2 linked regions of the Tribolium castaneum genome follow. The protein of the gene in region 1 purifies or fractionates together with the protein of each later gene. This does not show direct contact. Links are inferred from orthologs where the notes say so. Each region holds a gene or a part of one and is shown on either strand. Other genes may lie near its edges. The genes, in order: chromobox protein homolog 3 and Caf1-105.

Region 1 (3,196 bases):
GAGAAGAATTTTTATAAGCGAGAAAAGAGAATTTAAAGAAAAATTTTGCTGATTTAAAATCTAAAGACCTCTTTAAGAAAGAATCACAAAAATCTTTAAAAAAATCTAAAGGAAAATACAAAAACAATGCTAAAAAATAAATAAGAAATATTATAAAAGAAACTAGAGAAGAATTCTTATAAGCAAGAGAGGAGAATCTAAACGAAAATTTTGCTGATTTAAGATCTAAAGACCTCTTTAAGAAAAAATCACAAAAATTTTGTGATTTTGAAAAGAATCTAAAAAAAAGTACAGAAACAATAAAAAGGTATATCTGAAAATGTTTTAAACGAAACTTAAGAAGATGTCTATAAGAATTACAGGCTTGAACAGCTGAAAATTTCAGACATAATCTATAATACGTAGTTTATGTGTAAAAATTGATAAGAAAAAAATTTATCTATACCCAAATCAATCACATAGGCCATGCGTCCGGGCACAAAAATCTCCGACCGTTCAATATGCCGACTCTTCAGCGCACAAATCGTGTGGTAAATCGACTTCCCAATCTTCGTCTTAAACTTAAGCTCATCCTCATCCTTCTTCTGCACCTCCTTCTTCTCCTTCTCCTCCGTCTTGGCCGCCAGCCTCTCCAACTCCTGCTCCTGCTCCTGCTCGATGTGCTGTATCTCGCTCCTCACCTTCTGCAACAGGGCATAATCCAGCCCCTTCACCAAATGCGTATGCTCCATATCGCCCCCCAAGAACTTGCTCTCTTGAATCATCTGTCGGCGCCTCTCGGCCGCATCGAACCCCGACTTCAGATCAGGCGCCACGGCACGATAGGCCTGAGCCGTGGCCACCGGGTCGTCGCTCTGGTAGTCGGGGTTCACCCCCTGGCGGCGCTCACTGGCCCTGTCTCGGTACTTCTCCGCCAGTTCTGCCATCTTATTGTCCTCCTGCTTCTTCAACTTGGCGTAGTAGCTCTTCTTCTTGCGTCGCGCCTCGTTCTTGTCGTCTTTGGGGGGCGGCATCGTCGACGAGTTGGCCATCGCCTCCCGGATGGAGCCGGGGGCGGGCGCGTTCGCGGGCGCCGACCGCGGGGTCATCAACAACTTGCGGAAGTCGTCGTTGGTCAGCCGCTGCGACCCGGGGGCCGCGTCCGAAGGCATTTTTAACCAAAAACTGGGCCTGAATGTTGCAACTAGAACTGTCAACTGTCAATCACATAACCTTGCTTCCTCCTAGCCAGAAAAAAATTACAGTGAACCACTTCAAATGAGACCAAATAGCCCCAAAATGCTAAAAACAAGCTTTTTGCATTTACTACAATTACTATCGCGAATAATTAACCAAAATAATCAAGGAAAAACAGCAAATTCTTGTCGATAACACGTAGAAAAAATTAAAAAAAAAACAACTTTCCAACCCTGTCCCACAACTAACACTTAGTAATTATTTAATTAAGTATTTTTGCAAACCTACACGTATTTTTTTTTGCAAACAAAATTTATCAAAGTTTCAAACCAAAAAGTGCAGATTCAGTTGGGGCGCCTAACCACCGTTTTTTTCATACTGGGGGGGCTTTACGTTACGGTGAATAAACGCAAACGGCTTGAATAATAAATAATTCACCGGAAATATCACTATTTGGGGCTTTTAATTCATTAAATTAGTAAATAGGGGTGTAGGAACCTGCTTGTTACCGGCGGAGCGCACCTCCGCCATGTTTGTTTGAAAATTGTGAGCAAAGCGTCTGTTTTGCGGCTTTTGAAGTTATTTTAATTTCTTGCACGAAATCCCTCCAAAGTTGAGTAAAATTCGGCGTAAGTGTGCCCCGTGCGCCCCCCGGTGTGTACAGTGTGTTTTCTCCATCAGGGCACAATGAGCAAAAGCAAGAGGACGAGTCCTTCCCCCGCAGACCAAGAGGCCAACGAAGAGTACGTTGTGGAGAAAATAATCGACAGTCGGATAAATGCGGCCGGTATTAAGGAATACTACTTGAAATGGATCGGTTACGACGACAAGGACAACACATGGGAGCCCGAGGAGAACCTGGACTGTCCCGGGCTGATTGCGGCTTTCGAGGCCGAAAGGGCCAACAAAGACAAGGAGCGCAGCAAGAAGCGCAAGATGAACAGCACGCCGACGCCCGACATGAAGGGGGCCAAGAGGAAGAACGACGAGAAGAAAGTGCACGGGTTTGATAGGGGGCTAGAGCCCGAAAAAATAATCGGGGCCACGGATAGTTCCGGGCAGTTGATGTTCCTCATGAAGTGGGAGGGTACAGATGAGGCGGACTTAGTGCCCGCGAAACAGGCGAATATTAAGTGCCCCCAAGTTGTCATTAGGTTCTATGAAGAGCGTCTCACTTGGCATTCGCCCACAAATGACGAAAATAAAGCCGAGTGAAGGCTAGTTGTAAGGATATTCATAATGTACATATTCAACACGAATTATATACTATTATTAGACGAAAAAATCATTTGGACTAAGTAGGCGTTTAGAATCTTCCCGTATTATTATTATTTGAATCTGACTCCCTAGCTGTAAGTTTAGTTTCTTGACTTAATCAATAGAAAATTGTAATAATTTTTTTTATTTGAAATAAAACAAAACACCATTGCTTCGTTATCACTTATCACCCGAAAATATCATGAAAAGTGGTCCCATTGTACCCCACATCGCTAGTCGGCGCGTTCACGAAGTGAATATACATCCTAGAAACACAAAAAGTACAAAACCACACCAAAGACCCAATTACCGGTCCTTCGAAACCCCCAATTCCTTGCACACAACTTCGTACAAAGCCTTGGCGTGCTTTTTGTTTGGTTCCACGCCCAAGGCGCCAATGCTCATCAGAGTGGCTTGAGCGGCGGGCTCACTGGTGCCCCCCCAAGACATGTGGACGTCTCCGATCACAGTAGCCACACAATACTTGAAAAAAATTGAGTTATTCAAAGTTGACGTAACCTCAAACTTACATTGAGTGGCTTTGATAAGGAATTTGAAACAACTTGGCACAATTTCTGAGGCAAATCGGACGGGATTTTGCTCTGGGGCACGTTTGTCTCAACGCGAAAGTGAGGCATTTTGCGGAAAAAAATTGGCGGTGTTTTTATAACCTAGAAATGGACGTCAGAATTGACCTCTGGGTGACCTCCCAGGGGGGGGCGGGAATTTATACAAAAAGTGTATTGTTGAGGAAATTTGAATT
Region 2 (4,276 bases), on another chromosome or scaffold:
CGTATTCCACATTTTGCTAATTTGGAACGGGATAGCAGTGACGAAATCTTCACCTTTTTGGGTGAAAACGTGAATATTATGGGCATTTATGATGCAAATTGCAGGAACCGGCACGCCTTTAGTTTCCTCTTCTTTGTTAGAAAAAGGAAAAGCGTCGGTTTCATATCTGGGGTGCTCGCAGTGGAAAGTGCACCAAGCGGCGTGTTTTATAGGGAGAAGGGAAGTGTAAGCACAAATTGTTTTTCTACCGTTGTCTAAATTGTCACAATTGTTTAGCCCTCGGGACCACACTGCCGTGTGTCCCTTGACATAGAGTTCATCCTCCATAAAACTGACGTGACTTTTGGCAAAAGAACCCTCATAGCTTGGCCCTTGGGAATCAAAAAAAAAATAAAAATGCAAAAAATTGGTCCCACGTACCCCCATGAGCCAAGCTTTCATGCTTGAGTGAAAATTTCGAAAAACTCTCAGATATTCTCTTGCTAGTCTTTTGTGAATGATCGCAGCTTTGATAGCTGTAAGACTTGTCATTTTTACAGTCCTGATTCACACTAACTTTAGTACAAGAACTGTCTTTTGTCCCGTAGCACCAACTTGCCGCAGACTCAAACAAGGGGGTTTTCCGCAAAATCCACCATTCACTGTCTTTTTTCTCTTTTATTGAAACCTTTTCAAATTTATCAAGGAGTAGGTCCTCAGTTTGGCCTAAATTTTTTTGCGGGGGCACCCCATTGGGGCCTGGGTGTTTCAATGTTTGCTGCCGTCCACTTGGAACAAACTCCTGAAAAGTTTACGCAAAATATTGACTGAGTGAGAGCACCCACGAACCTGTGGATCTGAGGCAGCAATCATTGTTTCTACTTTCTCATCCAGATTTGCTAAATTTCAATAATGAATCAGAATGGTAACCAACATAAATCACGACTATTTTTCATTAAAAAACGCTTTTTTTAAACCGAATCGGCTCCTCTAACCTTCACAAACTTAACAGACAGCGCTGGCAATCTAAATGAAAGAAACCTAAATTTACTAGAATTTACAGACTTTACTTGAGTATTTAATTGTTAAATAGAGTATTTGCTTAATTTTTTATTAATTTGTGTTAATTTATATTCGTTCACGAAAAGGTTTGTAATTTAATTCAATTCATTCAATAGAATTGCTCATTTTTATACAAAAAAATTACATTTGTAAAAACAAAATCCCCAACGAGGAGACTAGTAAATTGGCGCCAAATGGTCGTAATATTTTTATTGGGTTGTTGTTTTGTGTAAAAAACGCCTTGTTTGTGTCTGCTACTATTCGTATTTCACAATTTAAGCCGCTAAACGTAGAATGAAGTGTTCGATACCAGAAATATCATGGCACAACCGGGAGCCCGTCTTGAGTGTTCATATTCAACCCGTTTTGGAGAAATTTTATAGGTTAGCAACTGGTGGTGCCGATTGTCATGTTTTGGTAAGCTTCGGTTTAAAAAAATTAAGTCTTGTGACGCTGTGCTTCAGATTTGGCAATTAACAATAAACGAAAACGGTAGTGTTAAAATCGAGGCTTTGTCTGATCTAACACGACACCAAAGAGCTGTGAATTCAGTTCGGTGGTCACCAGGGGGGCAGCAGCTCGCGACAGCTGATGACGACGCAAATATCATTATTTGGCAACTTAAAACCGATAATATCCCTCTACTGGAAGGAGAAACGAACGATAAAGAGACATGGATAGTGCATAAAGTAATGCGGGGGCACAAGGAAGACATTTACGACTTGTGTTGGTCACCCGATGGCTCAAAACTTCTATCGGGGTCTATAGACAACACTGCCATTTTGTGGGATTTTCAGAAAGGCAAAAATGAACAGATTTTAACCGACCACAAGGGATTTGTCCAAGTAAATTATTGCTAAATAAAAATATAGTGTTTGTAATTTTTCGAAATTTGAAGGGCGTGTCGTGGGATCCCAGAGGTCAGTTTTTGGCCACAATCAGTACCGACCGCATCTGCCGCATTTTTGAAAATACCGGTAAACAGGTGAAGGCTAGAATGCACAAGGGTCTATTACCGGTGCCGGAAGATCATTATCTTCACAACAAAGAAGTGAAATATTTTCATGATGACACGTTCAAGTCATTTTTCAGACGCTTAGATTTTTCACCTGATGGTTCTCTCCTGGCTGTTCCTTCAGGTCGCATTGAAATCGAGGATTGTAAAAAAATTCTCAACTGTACCTTGCTTTTTGCAGTAGATAACTGGGGAAGGTAAGTAATAGCGTAATTTTATTGAGCTGTTAAAGTTAATTTTGTATTATTTCAAATTTACACGCCAGAATAAAAATTATTAATCGGCTTCATTAATTAGTTAATTTTTTTTCAGTCCAATTTGTTTGTTTCCATCTGGAAAACAGTGCAGTACAGTTGTCCGTTTCTGCCCAATTCTCTTTGAACTGCATGAAGACGGACCTGATCCGCTAGTGTCTTTGCCTTATAGAATGGTTGTTGCGGTTGGGAGTGACCATGACGTAATTTTATACGACACTCAACAGTTGATGCCTTTTGCGTATTTCAAAGACATCCACTACACGAGATTAACAGATCTGACTTGGTCTAAAGACGGCCAGTTGTTAATAGCGTCCTCAACGGATGGTTTTTGCGCTCTTATCACCTTTGAGCCGAATGAATTAGGAGTGGAGTACATTAAAGAAGAAGAAGCTGAGGAAAGTGTTTTGGAGATTAGTGGATGTGAGGAATTACCGGATCACGATGAGACTGTTGAAGTTAACAACCCGAAAAAACTAAATTTGTTGGAACAATGGGCAATCAAAACGCCCAAAAAGGCAAAAACTGAAGGAGACACAAGTAAAAGAAAACCCGACGAACCGAACCGATTAACCCCAAAACGAATAAAACCGATTCCAGTAAAAGATGACGAAAATCAGAAAAACACGCCTGCCACCATCAAAAGAAAAGAACTTCCCTCGCCTAAAGCTAGCCCTCTTCTAAATTTCCTCAAACCTGTGTCGAAGGAAAAAATTGAATCGCCCGTTTCAACCCCTAAAATATCCACAGTTGATTTGATTTTAGACGAAGCAGAGGCTCGAGATGGCTGGCGCTGTGACAAAGATGAGACTGTTGAAAATAAACAAACAGAACCCAAATTAGGCGATGACGAATACACGGAAGAATTCAGTTTGCATTTAGAAGACACGAATAGTAAAAGTTGTGTTCAAGAAAACGACCAAAAAGAAGCCACTGAAAATTGTGTTCCTAAAGTTGAAGCAGACAAAGCAGCGACAAACACAGAAGACGTGAAACCCAAGAGACGAATTCCCTTAATCACGTTGTCAAGTCCCAAAACTACGAAAAAATAAAGTTTGTTACGTATTGTAAATTTTATTTATGGTTCGCTTTTTCGTTCTTTTTATTTATCAAGTGATGTCAATAAAAAAAGTATTATTTTGATGATGCATTTGATTTTGTGATGATTAGTGTTTCTCAAAATATTTCTTCTTCTCAATTGGATTAGGTATTATCTGAAATAAAGCAATATTAGACTGAGAATTTTCTTGCTGAATATTTTACTGTATCCTGGCCGGGTTTCCACTCCGCAGGACACACTTCTCCATGTTTATCGGTGTATTGGAAGGCTTGAACCAGTCTTAAAGTTTCATCAACACTTCTGCCAACCGGCAAATCATTCATAGTGATTTGCCTTAGCACTCCTTTAGTGTCTATAATAAATAAGCCCCTAAAACCAGAAACAAATTACAGAGTAATTATTTTAACCAAAAGTAAAACCTAAGAGTGTGTCCTAAATCCTCCAAAAACACGCCATATGACTTGGATATGCTATGATTCAAGTCCGACAAAAGCGGAATTTTGACTTTCCCAAGCCCTCCTTCTTTCCTAGGCGTGTTAATCCAAGCAAGATGAGTAAAATGCGAATCAACTGAACAGGCAACAACCTCCGTATTAATATCGCGAAATTCTTGGATCCGGTCACTGAACGCCAGAATTTCAGTGGGGCACACAAAAGTACTGAATAAAAAACAACAATCAAACGAAAAAACAATTCGCCCAACTTACAAATCAAGGGGGTAAAAAAAGAACACTAAATACTTCCCCAAAAAATCGGTGGATTTCAACTGAACAAACTCCCCGTCGACCACAGCCGTGCTCTCCCAAAAGGGGGCCGGTTTGGAGACTTAAAACCACGATTAAAACTGGAATAACGGTCCTGTTAACCACTTACTGACAGCTTGCGTCCACTGTAACTTATGCTCAG

Evidence for each region.
Region 2: the proteins of chromobox protein homolog 3 (region 1) and Caf1-105 purify together in Homo sapiens (affinity purification with mass spectrometry; 3 studies listed by BioGRID and IntAct, with this or other methods). This does not show direct contact. The link is inferred for Tribolium castaneum from reciprocal best matches to the Homo sapiens genes CBX3 and CHAF1B.

What each region holds. Positions count from the first base shown.
Region 1 is NC_087401.1:16,339,498-16,342,693, forward strand, and holds chromobox protein homolog 3, read left to right. Parts: upstream 1-1,648; 5' UTR 1,649-1,805; intron 1,806-1,857; 5' UTR 1,858-1,863; coding exon 1,864-2,391; 3' UTR 2,392-2,602; downstream 2,603-3,196. Other genes in the region: beag (protein Red), read right to left, coding at 446-1,151; macrophage migration inhibitory factor homolog, read right to left, coding at 2,621-2,699, 2,744-2,916, 2,964-3,071.
Region 2 is NC_087397.1:4,716,481-4,720,756, forward strand, and holds Caf1-105 (chromatin assembly factor 1 subunit B), read left to right. Parts: upstream 1-1,211; 5' UTR 1,212-1,335; coding exon 1,336-1,458; intron 1,459-1,505; coding exon 1,506-1,886; intron 1,887-1,939; coding exon 1,940-2,253; intron 2,254-2,368; coding exon 2,369-3,362; 3' UTR 3,363-3,453; downstream 3,454-4,276. Other genes in the region: shtd (anaphase-promoting complex subunit 1), read right to left, coding at 1-371, 421-781, 829-852; Prx4 (peroxiredoxin-2), read right to left, coding at 3,477-3,524, 3,574-3,739, 3,790-4,029, 4,078-4,195, 4,244-4,276. UniProt on the Homo sapiens protein: Acts as a component of the histone chaperone complex chromatin assembly factor 1 (CAF-1), which assembles histone octamers onto DNA during replication and repair.